Linked DNA regions of Struthio camelus. The protein of the gene in region 2 interacts with the protein of the main gene of each other region in a biochemical or structural test. Links are inferred from orthologs where the notes say so. Each region holds a gene or a part of one and is shown on either strand. Other genes may lie near its edges. The genes, in order: SNTB2 and DGKZ.

What was found.
Region 1: the proteins of DGKZ (region 2) and SNTB2 form a complex in vitro, tested with the Homo sapiens proteins (2 studies listed by BioGRID and IntAct, with this or other methods). The link is inferred for Struthio camelus from reciprocal best matches to the Homo sapiens genes DGKZ and SNTB2.

Annotation. Positions count from the first base shown.
Region 1 is NC_090951.1:1,656,749-1,664,596, reverse strand, and holds the start of SNTB2 (beta-2-syntrophin), read left to right. Parts: upstream 1-4,755; 5' UTR 4,756-4,776; coding exon 4,777-5,236; intron 5,237-7,848. Other genes in the region: UTP4 (U3 small nucleolar RNA-associated protein 4 homolog), read left to right, coding at 1-39, 571-687. UniProt on the Homo sapiens protein: Adapter protein that binds to and probably organizes the subcellular localization of a variety of membrane proteins. May link various receptors to the actin cytoskeleton and the dystrophin glycoprotein complex.
Region 2 is NC_090946.1:40,031,543-40,039,599, forward strand, and holds the start of DGKZ (diacylglycerol kinase zeta), read right to left. Parts: upstream 3,171-8,057; 5' UTR 3,047-3,170; coding exon 2,226-3,046; intron 1,236-2,225; coding exon 1,127-1,235; intron 377-1,126; coding exon 281-376; intron 1-280. UniProt on the Homo sapiens protein: Diacylglycerol kinase that converts diacylglycerol/DAG into phosphatidic acid/phosphatidate/PA and regulates the respective levels of these two bioactive lipids.

The DNA.
Region 1 (7,848 bases), on a different chromosome or scaffold from region 2:
AGACAACTCCACGCTTTCAAGATCTGCAAGAAGTTCCAGGTGGGTGTTGCTGTGCATGTGCTGTCTCTGAGGAGGGGTGGTGTTGAGGAAGGGGGTGCCCTGGACCTGTGGTCTGCCCAGGGGAGCAAGGAGGCTGCTGCGATGCTGTCAGGATGCCCCGCTAGCTGGAAGGAGCCACAGGTGCAGAGGTGATCCTGCCACAGGCTCCCTCCTTTGCTGTTTCTGGAGCAAGATGCCTGCTGTCCTGGCATGGTCTGAGCGCAGCCTTCCTGAGCTGTTCCTCAACTCTGCTGGTGTCGTATGTGCTCTCAGTGCCCCAGCAGCTCTGAGTCTCTATGTCCCCATCACGGTGCAGCCGCTTGCTGTCCATCTCGCGGGCTCTGATTTTTCCCCAGCAGCTCTCTGCAGAGCACGTCCCTTAAGCGATGTCCCTGGTTAAGGTTAAGCCAGAGCTGCCTTGCAGCCAGCTCCACGTACGTGGTCGAACCCAGCAAGCTGAGGCAGGGCAAGGAGAGACATTGCCCTGTCCCTGGCAGGGCTGTCATCTCCTGTCCCCTCCCTGCCCTGCAGCCCCTGCTCTTTGCGGATCTGCTGGATGAGAACTGCCTTGTGATGGTGGAGCGGCCCCTCATGGACATCAAGACCCAGCTGCCACCACCCATCCAACAGAAGAAATTTGGCACCTAAGAGCAGAACAAGTTGCTCCAGCCACAAAAACTGTGTATGTTACTTTCCTAGGATGTTGTAGTAATAAACCCCGTTGTTCTGTAGGGCTGCGTGCTCAGGCATCATCCTTGCCCTGTGGGGCTCCCTGCTGTCTGAGCAGCAGCAGGTCAGATTGGCTCTGGCCTGAGTCTGAATCAGGAGCCAAGGACACCTTTGTCTCGTAGGACTCCCCTGGTCATGCCTGTCCTGCTGTCTGGGTTGCTCATTGGCAGCGACTGGTGACTGCGAGGGCTAGGCATCGTCCCAGATCTTCTACCTTCTCTGTGGCTGCTCTTCTGGGAAACGTCAGGCCCCGGCGCTGGTTTCTCTCTCCTGGTGCTGTCCCGGGCAGCTGCAAGATGGGTTTCGTGACTGCTGGTGGCTCTGCGTGGGACAGAGGGGGCTCCCATCCCCTCAAACAGCAGTCACGTTCACGTGTCCCGCCAGGCGGGAAGCCTAGTGAGCTGGGCTCCGGATGGACAGAGGGGTGCCGAGTGCCTGCTCAGCAGGGCAGGGACGGGCAGTCCCCATGTGCCCTGTCCTGACGCCTGTGCAGTGCGCTCCTGCTCTGCCTCGAGAGAGGGTCGGACGGGAGAGGCAGGGCCGAGCGGCTTGTTAGCGTTGTAGTCGTGCATGGCCACAGCCGTTTTTGCAGTGCTGGTGGGCGCAGGCTGACGGTGGGTGAGCTGCCACGTGCCGGTGCGTGGAGCAGCTCTCCTGCCCCTGGCCTTGGGAGGGGACACCAGGACCGGGGTGTGAATGCACACGCTCTTGCTTTGCAAACTTTTCCTCGCTGCTGTCGCTACCTCCCCTCATCGCTTGGCCCTCCTGCTTCCCAGCCCCTGCTGCGGAGAGGAGAGGAGAGCGCCCCATCTGGGTGGCTCGATCGGGAGGAGGGTGCTGGAAAGCTTTTGGCATGGGGAGCTGGCAACGCGCAGCCGCGGGAGGAGAGCTGGCTCTCCGGGGCTGCGGCGGTGTCGGGCGGCTGTCCCCGCGCTCGGGGCTTGGCGGTGCCTCCGGAGGAGGACGGGAGCGCAGTGAGGGCTGCTGCTGACGTTCTCCACGCCGAGCTCCTGCTGCAGGGAGGCAAAGCCCGGCCTGGAAGCAGCCAAGGGTATTTAGCCGTATGTGTTTGGGTGCACCGTCCTGCCCAGTTGCCCTCTCTGTGACAAGGCTGATGCTCGCCCTACCGTTTCAGGAACGGGTACCAGCCCCGTGCTGCTGCGCTGTCGTTTCCCTTCCCTCCTTCAAAGTCTCCTATTCCGGCCAGCTAGATTCCCCTCCAGCTGACAGGCCTCCCACGAAGCACCGTTGCAGTCCGTCTCGCCCCCGAGGCTTGCGCTGACCGGGCTGCCCCCGCTGCCTGCGTGTGGCCGAGGCCAGTCCTTGGACAGCAAGCAGCCTGGGGGCCGGACTGCCGACGGATCGGGGAGGAGGATCTGGTCACTGCAGCCTTGCGAAACTACAGGCTCCGAAAAACGGGGGCAATAAACAGCTGCCGGTTCAGTATCGTAGAAAAAAAAAGAAACGCGAGCAAAGCTCTTCTGTGGGGAGAGAAGATTTATGAAACGGTGACTCAGGATGATGTTTATTCTCTTGCAGAAGCTACTCTGCAGCGACCACTGTCCCTCGCGCGTGCATCTTCCCCCCGCACGCTGCCAAGCGGCCTCCCCTGGTCTCCTATCAGCAAGGCAGGGCCCTGGGGCGGCGGGCGCCCGGGAGCCGAGCGCAGCAGCGGCCGGGGTCCCCGAGCGGGCAGGCTGGCCGCGCTGCTGTCCAAGCGCTTGACGAACCCTGGGCGTAAATGAAGGTGACGGGATAGGGGTGTTGTGTAACGGGAGCGTTGCCCCCGTGCTGGTAACCTGCCGAGCTCGCCGGCGCCGGTGCGTTGCGGCAGCCACTCAACGTCTGACTGCGAAATCTTTGCTCCCCGCGCGAGTAATTCCTTGATCGGCCGTTGCGCGAGCAGGATGCAGGGACGCTGGCCCGCAGAAGGAAGTTGCTTTCCTGGGGGAGAGGATTTCTTTGGCGGAGTTCCCCCTAATGCTCTGGCTTCGCTCGCTAAAGCAGGAAGAGCTGTAGGGCTGGCGCGCTCCGTCCGCCCTCTCCTCGGCGTCTCGGCGGCCGAGCCGCTGCCTCCTGCGGGGACAGGCCAGCAGCTCGCCCCGGCCTCGGGGCCTGCGAGGTGGCGCCGGGGTGGCCGCGGGGCTCCAGCCCTGGGCGGCTGGTGGTGTCCCCGTGCCGCTGTCCTGCCGCCGGAAAGGCAGGCTGCGCCCGGGGCAGCGTGGCCCTGGGGACAGCAGTCCTGGCCCTTTGGGCACGGTGTGAGCTGAGGACAGCGTGGCCCTTTGGGGACAGTGGTGCTGGCCCTGGGGACAGTGTGGTTGTGGGGACAGTGGTGCTGGCCTTGGGGATGGTGTGGCCTTTTGGGGACAGTGTGGGCCTTGAGGGACAGCGGTGCTGGCCCTTTGGGGATGATGTGGCCCTGTGGGGACAGTGGTGCTGGCCCTTCGGGGGTGGTGTGGCCCTTTGGGGACAGCAGTGCTGGCCCTTTGGGGGTGGTGTGGCCCTTCGGGGACAGTGTGGCCCTTCGGGGACAGCAGCGCTGGCCCTTTGGGGATGGTGTGGCCCTTCAGAAACAGCATGGCCCCTTGGGGACAGTAGTGCTGGCCCTTGAGGGATGGTGTGGCCCTTTGGGGACAATGTGACCCTTTGGGGACAGTGGCACTGGCCCTTTGGGGATGGCGTGGCCCTTCAGGGGCAGTAGTGCTGGCCCTTTGGGGACAGTGTGGCTCTTCAGGGATGGCATGGCCCTTCGGGGACAGCGGCGCTGGCCCTTTGGGGATGATGTGGCCCTTCGGGGACAGTGTGGCCCTTCGGGGACAGCAGCGCTGGCCCTTTGGGGATGGTGTGGCCCTTCAGAAACAGCATGGCCCCTTGGGGACAGTAGTGCTGGCCCTTGAGGGATGGTGTGGCCCTTTGGGGACAATGTGACCCTTTGGGGACAGTGGCACTGGCCCTTTGGGGATGGCGTGGCCCTTTGGGGATGGCGTGGCCCTTCGGGGACGGTAGTGCTGGCCCTTTGGGGATGGTGTGACCCTTTGGGGACAGTGTGGCTCTTCAGGGATGGCATGGCCCTTCGGGGACAGCGGCGCTGGCCCTTTGGGGATGGTGTGACCCTTCAGAAACGGCGTGGCCCCTTTGGGGACAGTAGTGCTGGCCCTTGGGGGACAATGTGGCCCTTTGGGGACAGTGACTCTTCGGGGATGGCGTAGCCCTTCAGGGACAGTAGTGCTGGCCCTTTGGGGATGGCATGGCCCTTCGGGGACAGTAGTGCCGGCCCTTTGGGGGACAGTGTGGCTCTTCAAGGATGGTGTGGCCCTTTGGGGACAGTAGTGCCGGCCCTTTGGGGGACAGTGTGGCCCTTTGGGGACAGTGTGACCCTTTGGGGACAGTAGTGCTGGCCCTTTGGGGACAGTGTGGCCCTTTGGGGACAGTAGTGCCGGCCCTTTGGGGGACAGTGTGGCTCTTCGAGGACAGTGTGGCCCTTTGGGGACAGTAGTGCTGGCCCTTCGGGGATGGTGTGACCCTTCGGGGACAGTGTGGCCCTTCAGGGACAGTAGTGCTGGCCCTTTGGGGACAGTGTGACCCTTTGGGGACAGTAGTGCCGGCCTTTTGGGGGACAGTGTGGCCCTTTGGGGACAGTGTGGCCCTTTGGGGACAGTAGCCCTTTGGGGACAGTGTGGCCCTTCGGGGACGGCGGCGCCGGCTCGGGCGCGGCCCGCCCGCGGGCTCCCGCCCTGAGGAGCGCGGCGGCGGCGGCGGCGGCCTGAGGCGAGCGCGGGGGCGGGGCCCCACCGCCCCTCCCCGCCCCGTCCCTCCGCCTTACCCAATCAGAGCGGGGGGGGGGCTGAGCCGAACCCCGCCCCTCCGAGCCGGCGGGCGACCTATCAGAGCCCGCCATGCGGGCGACGGGAGGAGGGGGCGTGGCCTCGGGGCCGCCGAGCGCCGCCCCGGGGTGTGGGGGGGGAGGGGAGCGCGCGGGGCGGCGGCGGCGGCGGCGGCGGCGGGATGGCCGTGTGGACCCGCGCCTCCAAAGCGGGGCTGCTGGAGCTGCTGCTGCGGGAGCGCTGGGTGCGGGTGGCGGCGGAGCTGAGCGGCGAGGCGCTGAGCCTCACGGCGGAGCCGGGCGGCGGCGGCGAGGCGGCGGCGGCGGCGCTGAACGGCGTGGCCAACGGCGCCGAGTGGGGCGGCGCGGAGGCGGCGGCGGCGGCGGTGCCGGCGGGCGTGCGGCGGGTGCGGGTGGTGAAGGCGGAGGCGGGCGGGCTGGGCATCAGCATCAAGGGCGGCCGCGAGAACCGCATGCCGGTGCTCATCTCCCGCATCTTCCCGGGGCTGGCGGCGGAGCGGTGCGGCGCCCTGCGCCTCGGCGACGCCATCCTCGCCGTCAACGGCGTCGACCTCCGCGACGCCACCCACGACCAGGCCGTGCAGGCGCTGAAGCGCGCCGGGAGGGAGGTCGTCCTCGAAGGTACCGCCGCGTCGCGGCCCCCGCTGCCGCTTACCGGGTGTCCTGCCCCTCCGGCCCGGCCCGGCCCGGCCCCGTTACCGGGTGTCCTGCCCCTCCGGCCTGGCCCGGCCCGGCCCCGTTACCGGGTGTCCTGCCCCCTTGTCCCGTTACCGGGATCCTGCCCCTTCCCCCAGCCCGGTTACCGGGTGCCCCCTCCCCCTTGTCCCGTTACCGGGTGTCCTGTCCCCTTGTCCCGGCCCGGTTACCGGGTGTCCTGCCCCCTTGTCCCGTTACCGGGATCCTGCCCCTTCCTCTGGCCCGGTTACCGGGTGTCCTGCCCCTTCCCCCGGCCCGGTTACCGGGTGTCCTGCCCCCTTGTCCCGTTACCGGGTGTCCTGCCCCCTTGTCCCGTTACCGGGATCCTGCCCCTTCCCCCGTCCCGGTTACGGGTGTCCTGCCCCCTTGTCCCGTTACCGGGTGTCCTGCCCCCTTGTCCCGTTACCGGGTGTCCTGCCCCCTTGTCCCGTTACCGGGATCCTGCCCCTCCCCCTTGTCCCGTTACCGGCTGTCCTGCCCCGTTGTCCCGTTACTGGGATCCTGCCCCTTCCCCCAGCCCGGTTACTGGGTGCCCCCTCCCCCTTGTCCTGTTACTAGGATCCTGCCCCCTCCCCCGTTGTCCCGTTACCGGGTGTCCTGCCGCCTTGTCCCGTTACTGGGATCCTACCCCTTCCCCCGGCCCGGTTACCGGGTGTCCTGCCCCCTTGTCCCGTTACTGGGATCCTACCCTTTCCCCCGGCCCGGTTACTGGGTGTCCTGCCCCCTTGTCCCGTTACTGGGATCCTGCCCCCTCCCCCTTGTCCCGTTACCGGGTGTCCTGCCTCTTGGTCCCATTATTGGGATTCTGCCCCCTCCCCCTGCCCGGTTACCGGGTGTCCTGCCCCATCCCCGGATCCCCCCCCTCCTGCCCTCTTTCCCGTTACTGGGATCCTCCCTCTCTACCGGCCGGCTTACCGGGTGTCCCACAAGCCCCCCAGGCCACGTCCCGTTACTGGGGTCCTGCACTGCTTCCCTGTCCCCTCACCCCGGTCCTGCACTTCCCCTGTCCCGGTTATCGGGTGTCCTGCACGTCCCGGGCTTCCCTTCCCGTTACCGGGGTCCTGCCCCCTTCCCGGATCCCCCCTCCTGCCCCCTTCCCGTTACTGGGGTCCTGCCCCCTTCCTGGATCCCCCCCTCCTGTCCCCTTCCCGGATCCCCCCCTCCTGCCCCCTTCCCGTTACCGGGGTCCTGCCCCCTTCCTGGATCCCCCCTCCTACCCCCTTCCTGTTACTGGGGTCCTGCCCCCTTCCCAGATCCCCCCCTCCTGCCCCCTTCCTATTACTGGGGTCCTGCCCCCTTCCTGGATCCCCCCTCCTACCCCCTTCCCGTTACTGGGGTCCTGCCCCCTTCCTGGATCCCCTCCTCCTACCCCCTTCCCGTTACCGGGGTCCTGCCCCCTTCCTGGATCCCCCCTCCTACCCCTTTCCCGTTACCGGGATCCTGCCCCCTCCCCTGTCCCAGCTACCAGACTCCCGGCCCCCTCGCTGTTACCAGCTTCCCGGATACCCCTTGTGTCCTCGTCCCATTACCGGGGTCCCTGACACCGCCCGGGATCCGCTCTCCCGTTACGGGGTGCTGCACGCCCCCCATCCCGGTGACCGGGCACACGGGCAGCCCACGGGTCGTCCCCGGTGCCGGGACCCAGCCGGCTCCCAGTGGTGTCCCTGCCCGCCGTGGGGACGGGGACACGGACATCCCACCCCGGTGGCGGTGTCCTCGCCCAGAGCAGGGGACGGGGACGCCCTCTCCCGCCCCGGCATCCCTGCCCCAGCCGGGGACAGGGGCAGGACACCCCCCCGGGTGGGCTCCCCATGGCGAGGGGAATCACGTCACCCCGGGTGGGGGGTCTTGGGCTGCCCGCCGCCAAGCGGGACAACCCCACGGGCTTTAAAACGGAGGCCCGCAGCCGCGGGGAAGCCAGCAAGGCGGGGTGGAAGGAGCGTGCCGGCCGGCTGCCCCGTGCGGCTGCGCCCGCTGCTGCGGAGCACCCGGCTCCTGCTGGAGGTGAAGCACGGCCCGGGCTCCTCGGGGGAACGCTTTCCTTGCAGTTAGTTGTTCCCATGCCCGCACCACGGCTATTCTTGGAGTCTTCTGTTTTTATTAATTGTGCAATTTTGTGGCTAAGAGTTGCTGACAGCGTGAATTATCTGCTAGCGGAGGGGGTGACCCTTTCCTTTGCAACGGGCTTGGCTCCTGCCGCCCCTCTTTGCTGTTGCATCTCCTCTCGAGAGGAGGCCTAAGAAGCGAAACTAGCTGCCTGGCGTCTGGGGGAAGCTGGGCCAGAGAAGCTGCGGCCGGCGCAGAGGTGAACGCGGCGCCTTCGCGTCGGGTTTCCGTGTGCAGCGATGCCGCTCTGTGCGGCGGGGCCGTGCTCCGCGCGCGCTGAAACGGGAGTCTCCGGAGAGCGCCCGCCGGGCTGCCCGTGAGAGGAAGGGTTTGCGCGGGGGGGTCGGCTGCTGCGTGCCCGTGCCGTAGCCACCGCGTCCGGATCCGCGCCCGAGGCTGCGACGCTGTGCGAAGTCGGAGTCTGGCCCTGT
Region 2 (8,057 bases):
AGCCTCTCCCTGGAACATCCCCTCCGGCCTGCTGGCAACCTTGTGTCAGGTTCCTGTTACACAGTGAATGGCTTCCCTGGCTCAGACCAGGGGTGAGGCCCTCCACTACACATAGGTAGAAAGAGCACACTGTCCCTCCCCGTTGCTAGCTCCCCGAGCCCCCCTATGCTTTCCCCAGCACCAGGCAGTAGCAGTGCTTTTGCAGTCTCTCCGCCAGGTGGCAGCACAGCCCGCATCCGTGGATCCTGCCAGGGGACTCGCGTGACCCCAGGTGACTTACCAGCAGCTTTGCCATACAGTTTTGCTCCCCAACATAGCAGAAATCCCCAGAGGCATTGGTCTCAAACCAGATGTGCTCCCCATAGACTGCAGTCTCCTGAAAGGCACAAGACAATGCTGTGTTTCTCTGAGAGCACCCATAAGTGATCATCTGATCTCCTAAAATGCTTTGTGCTAGGGACAAGACAACTTGATGTGGGGGTTGGGGGGGCTAGATGTAGGCAGGGAGACAAGATGCACAGAATCACCAGGGCAAACACCTGCAGAGAGGAAACCTTACAAAGCTGCTGCCACAGCCCACCCTGTTGGAAATGAGAGGCCCCCAGGAAACCAACTCTCCTCTCTCTCAGATCCTATGGAAAAACCTACAGCCTAGCTGTGTCCCATTCAGTGGGGCTGCCTCTATTCCCCCTGAGAAGAGGCACCTCGGCAAATTCAATGCTGGGGTCTCTCCTGAAACAGCCTCTGTTCCTTGACTTCAGGCAGGTTTTGACCTGCACCCTTCCTTTGCCTTTGCAGGAGGAGGGTTGGGGCGGAGGCTGGCACCCATATGCCAAGGAGAGCCCTGTGTCCCAGGGACTCCATTTGCCAGAAGACTTCCACTGCCAAGAGCAGAAGAACTGGAAGTTAAGTAGCTGTGCAACCTCCCAGGGAACTGCCTGTGCCCGCATAGCCTCTCTTCGCAGCATCAAGGGGTGCTGCCAGCAGCACAGATGCTGGCACCAGCGGAGGCCACAAATGTGTCAAAGCCAAAGTCACCTGGGAAGCCCTGGCCTGGGAAGAGCCTGCTGCTTCTTGTCTCAAAGCCCATCCTACCTCATGCCCAGCAAAATGCAAAGCAACTTACGCTCCAGTCCACAGTGCTGCGTATCTGCCTCTCTGAATCGCTCCTCAGGGCTAGCGCAGGGTTTGGCTGGGCTACCATGTGCTGGAGGCTGGATTTGGCAATAGCTTTTCTGGAAGACACGAGGGCTGCCTATTAGATCAGGAGAGGAGGAATGTGCGCAAAGAACAGCCTGCCTCTGGGATAGACAGTGATACTGGAGAAGAAAACCATCCTCAGAACCAAGCAGCTGGAAGTGCAGCGAATCCCCCAGGACCACTGCCTGAGGAACATCACCTCTCCGGCAAGTCAGTCCCTGTAGGGTGCAGAGGTGCTGGCCACATTGCTGACACTCACCAAAAGACATCCTACATCCGGCAAAAGACAGGCTAGACCTGCTGGGTCAAAACTCTCAGGGATGACAGGCCCACTGCATGACAGCCCAGGATACCCCACCAGCAGTCTCCACCAGGCTGTAGAGGTGGGGCTGCCTGTGCAAGGGCAGCCTTGAGCCCCTGCCCCAGTGCAGCTCCCCATAGCTTCCCACATATAAAGGCACCTCAGAGCCTGAGGCATTTTCAGAGTCCGGCACAACCGGCTAAAGCAAAGTAGCTTGTTTGGGACTAGGGAGCTGGTGAGCTTCCTTCGGGTAGGTTAGGGTGGAGGAAAGGACCAACAGGTCTAGTCAACTGGAGAAATTAGACAATACCCACCTCTAGCCCTAAAAGAGCCTTGGCCTCTTTTTTCACACCTGGGCTGGGAGAAGGCAAGGAATACAGAGGTACTTTGTACCGGCTGGAAGGGGACGTGTGGCAAGCCCCAAGGGGCTGCGGTGAGAGCATCAGACAAACAGAAAACTACCTCAGCCCTCAGTGACCTAAGGAGGAGACTGGCTCCTTGCTCTCCTCTACAGACACAAACAGCACTGCAAAGACATTGACAGCGGTGAGGCCTGGCACAGCCTTCTCCGACCCTGGCCACGTGGCACAAAAGGCCTCAGACCCAAGCCAAGCCCCTGCCCCTTCCTTCCTTCCCCATCCCCGGCCTGGCAAGCCTGGAGCCCCACATCCACCTCCCCTCTCTCAGATACTGCCTCGCTAACGTCACACGCCGCCATACATACAGCAGCCTGGGGCTCCAGGAGTCGGGGGCGGCAGGGCAGACGGGCTCCGATCCCAGGCACTCGGAGGGGGCAGCGGGAGGGCGCCTGGCTCCGGCTGCAGCCATCCACCTCCTGGGCAGCAGCCGCGCTCGGCCCGGGGAGATCAGCGCCCCGGGCCCCACGGCGTCACTCGAACGCCGGTGCTGGCTGAGGCGGCGGTAGCGCCCTTGCAGGCCGTAGGCAGCCCTGCCGTACACGAACTCGGTGGGCAGGAGATGGGAGGATCTGCGACGCAGGCACCGGGGGCCCCTCAGCAGCGGCCTGGCGTGGAGGGGCCGCAGCACGGGGAGCATGGAGAGCCAGGTCTCCTCAGCCCACCACCTGCGCCTGCCTGGCTCCGCTCCCCTGGCGGCCACGCTCTCCTCCCTGCCACCACCGTCCTCCAGCGACTCGGATCCGGAGCTGTCGGCACAGGGCACCCCTTTCCCCTCCTCTCTCATTTGGATAAGGCTGGCCAGGAGCATGGAAGGGCCCATCAAGTGGGTATCGATGGATCGCACCTGACCCCCGCGCTTCTTCTGCACGGCGAAGCGGGGGCTGAGGCATGGCGGTGTGGTGCTGGAGCGGCGCCGGGAGCCGGGGCTGGCCTGCTGGGGCCGGCCCAGGCAGGAGAGGGCCGGCAGCGGCGCGCCGGACCTGCACCGGCGCTGGACCAGCGAGGCTGAGGGCAGGCCCACTTGGGAGCGGCGCCTGGCTTTACCTGTGGGCACTGCCACCGCGCTGGCTCGCCGCGACCCCGAGGGCCCCTTCCTCTGGAAGTGCCTCTTAAAAAAGGTTTCCATAGCACAGAGGGTGGCACCTGAAGGGTGGCTGTTAACATAGAAACCAGCAATTAAAGAGCCTCCTGGCTAGGCTGCAAAGACCAAAGCAGTGACGGGCCAGGGGACGGCCCCGAGCTCACAGGGTGCAGCAGAAGAGAGGGCAGGAGGAAGGTGAAACAGCAGGAAACCCAGTTGCCAGACCTACGTGGTTGCTGCCGAGCTCTGCCTCTCCCTGCCTCAGCCCTCTCTACACAGGCAGAAAAGGAGGATGGGGAGAGGCGTGAAGGCCTTGTCTGGTGGCTCAGGGGGTAGCAACGAGCAAACAACTGGATGCTGGGATGCCTCCACCTAGAGCGAGCAACAAGACTGGGACCGGCCTCTGGTATACAACACACATTATTCACTGCTTAACGGCACTGCAGGAGCAGCTGGGCCACAAGGCACCCTCTCCTCTTGAGTTCAGAGCCAAATAAAGCTCTCCCTCTTATTAAGGCAGTTTCTAGGTTTATTTTCACAGCTTAGTGGAGGGTGCTGTGATGGCAGGGCAGGCATCACGTGCTGTTCCTAGTTCCCTCTAGATCCCCTGCTCATCACTGCAGGATCAACGTAGTCCTAACTCCTCTTTTGCACTGCACAGCTTCCATTTCCAATCTCTCAGCAATCTGTCCAGTCCTCTTCAGATTTCCTAGTCCCCAGCACTGTAAGGCACAGAAAAAGCTCAGCATTCAAATGTAGCCTCCTGTCAGCACTAGGATGATAGCTGGTTCCTGCAGCTACTTCTCTGCAGAGGGCTTTGGGTGGGAAGAAAAAAAAAAAACAGTGAATTTAGGAGGCTGGAGGTGTTAAAGGGATAATTTCTTGACTTGGAGCAGCTAAGAAGAGACTCCCTTTAAAAGGAACAAAGCCTTTCCTACAATCTCATGTGCTGAGCTGGATGGAACAAGGGCACGTGGCACTCGATGCCTTCGGTGAGGACAGCCAGGCTTACCCTGGAGAAGGTGCTCAGAAATACCCACTGGACTACTCGGATGTCTGCAGAGGCTGAGCTCCCCTCTAGACGACCCTGTGGAGAAGAGCCTCTGTACTGCTTGAAAAGATCAGCCCTTGCTCACGACCCCCAGTCACACGCATTCATCCCCTGGTGCTGGCCCTCCTGTTTTTCCAGTGGTAACCGCTCTGTGTAAGCACCAACCGCACAGAATTTGATGCAAATGAAAACAAAGGACTTACGAATTTGCAATAAAAGCAAGGCCAGTAAAAGAGGGGCAGGCAGATTTGGTAGAGGCTGGCAGAGGGAGCTGGAGTGGAGGTGGCCTAGGAAAATCGTCCTGTCCGTCCTGCTCAGAACTCCCCTCTCTCGGTGGGAAGAGCTTTAACATGACTCTCGAGCTTTCATTGCCCAGCTCTCAAAGCCTAACTCGTTGCCAGGACATTACAGCTGTTCGTGAAAAGCGCTGGGCCACAGATGGAAGTTGCTACAACACTGGTTTAAGCACTCTCAGCTTAGCATGCAAAGGTTTAAAAGGAAGAGACCGAAGCTGACTAATTCCAGTGCTCCTCTGCTCTAAGCAAAGTGCTTCTCCTCTGACCCCCCAGCCACTGCTTGTCTTCAACCTCTAAACAGAGAGGGTTTATCTGAGGACAACTCAAGAAACACTGACACTCACAGCTTGGTAGAATCTTTCTGGCGCCTCAAATGCTACAGAGCCAGGGGCCTCCAAATTAGGGCAGCCTGCAGGCACACGCAAGCCACCGTTGTCACTCCCAGCAACTTCTCCGTGCTGTAAAAGGCTGCTCCTCTACCCATCGTGAGCGTACAGGCACGTCACTCACCACTGCACTAAGATTAGCTGCGCTCACTTCTGTCTTCCTTTCTTCTCATGCTTTCTTATGCGGTCACTTGCTGGTCAGCAGTACTAAAGACCTTCAGAACAGCCTGGCCTAAACCTCAACAGCCCTGAGGGCCATGGGAACAGGCAGATTTGTCAGACAGATGCTTCCCTTTTTGCTTGGGAGACGCATTAAGATAGCACACGGGTGCTATTTTCTGGACCATAAACAGGCAGTTTTGTTTAGTGCTTGTATGCAAGCAACCCACTGGGCTGTACCTCTGCTTCTTTTAGAGAAGACTATAAAGCCAAGTTTGCATTTTGGAGAGGACAAGACATGGTTCATTCCCCTCCAGCCTGGTAGGCAAGGAAGTTAGCTCTGTAGTTTCTGTAGTCTCACTGCTATTCCCTGTGCTACTGTTGTATTCAGCAATGCAGCCTAGGGAGGGGAGAAAGTACAGCAATACTCTACAGAGGAATCTGCAGCTCGGACAGCAGCACTGGGGGAGCTAAAGTCTTGCTGAATTGAAAGCAAAACCAGAGTGCCATCTCCTCAGAGGAATTTCTCAAGTTCCACCACAGTGAGCGATGCAGATACGTCAAGCGCTAACTGATCACTAGCACATTTAACCATCGTACCGCCGAGGCCTGCGCAGCTTCGCAGATGGCATAAGCAAGTTCCGCTGATCACTCTGCTTCTAGCCCATCCTTGACCCTGCAATATGCTAGTCTTGTCCTTTCTCCCCACAATTTATAGGATACCTCAGTAAACTGGATTATCAACAATAGTCTTAAAAATTGTCTGAACAAATGGAACGGGTTAACAAACAACAGAGGACACTGCCTGGGAGTGGCAAACCGCAACAAGCTCTCTTTGATCATGTTTACTTGCTAGGGTAGATGTACTGCCAGGCTACATCCCGAATGAGTTGAATTGGTGCCCTCTTCTGCCCCAGATATTCCACCAACATTCAGGCTGATGTGCTGCTGGCCAAGCTGCTGCTATGGGCAGAAAGATCTTTCAACACGGCTTCCTTCCTTTTTGCACCACGGTCTCGTGAGGAAATTTGCCTCAACAACCTTTGCTTGACATTTATATTTTGGTTACTAGTTGATTAGAGTTTTTTTTTTTTTTTTTTTTTTAATCTTCAAGGTTGTCAGAGAGTGGCGCACACTCTCTTGTTCCAGTCACCAGTGGTGAAGGGTATTATCGGGAAATCATTTGACAGCCCATAATGGCACCATGCAGCAACTCAGATGGGGAAGTTCTTCACCATCCTATCTCTTGCATCTTACTTGCAACCTGAGCTGCCAAATGCTATACCGTGGGTGTTAAGAGCTGCTGCTGGCAGAGCACGGCGCCTGAAGGCAACGAGGCACGGACTGCCTAGGGCTGATGTGCACTGGCAGAGCCGTGAGCAGGGGAACCGTGCACTGCGGGGAAAGGAGCCTGACCAGAGCTAACTCTTGAAAGCTTCTGGCCCAACACTTGCACGTTTCTGGAATCTGCAGATTTCTCTTAAAAGACTATTTTCAGCTGTGAAGATGGATGAGAAGCAGTGCTTGTTACTGTTCTGCAGACTGCATCGCTCAGTTGAGTTAGGTAAGGAGGCTGGATGGAGGCAGTCTAACATTAGCAGGGTGGGAAGGAAAGGAAAGGAAAGGAAATAATGCTGCACACACTAGCATATCAACTCTACTTACAGGCAGCTTTACATTATCATTACAATCTGCTTCTGTGAATGAGGAAGGAGTCGGCAGCTTTGGTGTGCAAGTGGAGCTTTTGGGAGTTTTTTTTTTCTAACCTGACCCCTCAGTGCTCCTCAGCCTCAACCTCCTGCCTGTGCTCCCAGCCTAGCATCAGTGAGCAGAGATACCGCTGAAGCAGGAACACACCCCTGACCATGGACAGTCAGTGGCGCTGCCCCTGAGAGCTGAGGAGGGGCTGCAGGAAGCTGTCTGGGTGCTCAGAGAAGGCTGCAAGCTGTTACTCTCAGGATAGAGCTAATCTCAGTGGAAGGATCTAAATGCCCTGGAAAGTCAAACAGGGATCTAAGAAAAAAACCTTGCCTCTCATAACTTCAGTAGATGCAGAGCTGGTAGATCAGCTGATAAGGGGACCCTGCTCTCCAGAGAGCCACCCAAATATCCAGCACACATCCCTTCCATGGCGGTGGTAGTTCCAAAACCAGAAAAGCTGATTCCAAGGCCAGAACATGAACTTTCGTCCCTCAGGCACAGGCTTTGCCCGTGGTAGGGAGAGCTTCTTGGTATGCAGCTCCTGTAATTCTGCTTTGCTCCAATAGCCTCAAGCAAACCCCGGTGTACTGTACTGAACAAGCCCTCTGTGACCTTCTTATCTGTGTACATGGATGCTGTGCCACATGTCTGTTCAGTCCTTCCCCTTCATTATTATCCCTTCACCCCCCCTCCAGTGAACTGGTCTCTTCCTGAGAGGACCCAGAAGCAACAGAGATCCCAGGCTGCCTTTCCAGCCCCATCACTTCCATTCAGATACCACAGGTTGCCGTCAGTTAGTGTTTCCACCACAAGCTTGCACTACCGCTCTCAGTGCTCTGATACTCAAGTCTTTCCATGTATGCTGCTGTCCCCATACCACCTCTGCTGGAATCCTGTCCCAGCTCTCCCTTCCGGCTCCCAGGCATCAGCTACTGAACCCTGCTCCCCAGTCAGCCCTCTCCAATACACAAGGAAGAGCAACTCACATGGATTAGGTTTGCCAGGAAAGGTGTCCCTTTCTCAGAAGCATCAGCCACTAGTCCCTGTCACAGATGGTGAAGAGAGCATCTGGGTCAAGACATGCTATAGCCCTTGGGGCTTTGGTTGAGGTGAGCTGAGCTGAGCTGAGCAATTATCAGCAAGTTCCCAAACTCTGTGCAGTTTGTTTCTACCTAAAATTTACATCTAAGTTGTAATCTGTCCTACATCAGGCAAATAAAACAGGGACAGAAGCTGCCTGAGGGGGCAACTTCACGAGAACAAGGGCAAAAAGGTCTGAGAATAACCTGTTACTGAGTACAGCTACTACTTCCTTGGGGAACACCAGCTCTCATCTAACTGTGCAGAAGTCTCTCTAGCCAGCACTGATGCACACACACCTCTGAAGGAAGGGCAGAAGAGCAGCAGCCCTCCCCTGTGCTTTTGGTACAATGGTGGAAAGTCTGTGGGCTGCACAAGCCATC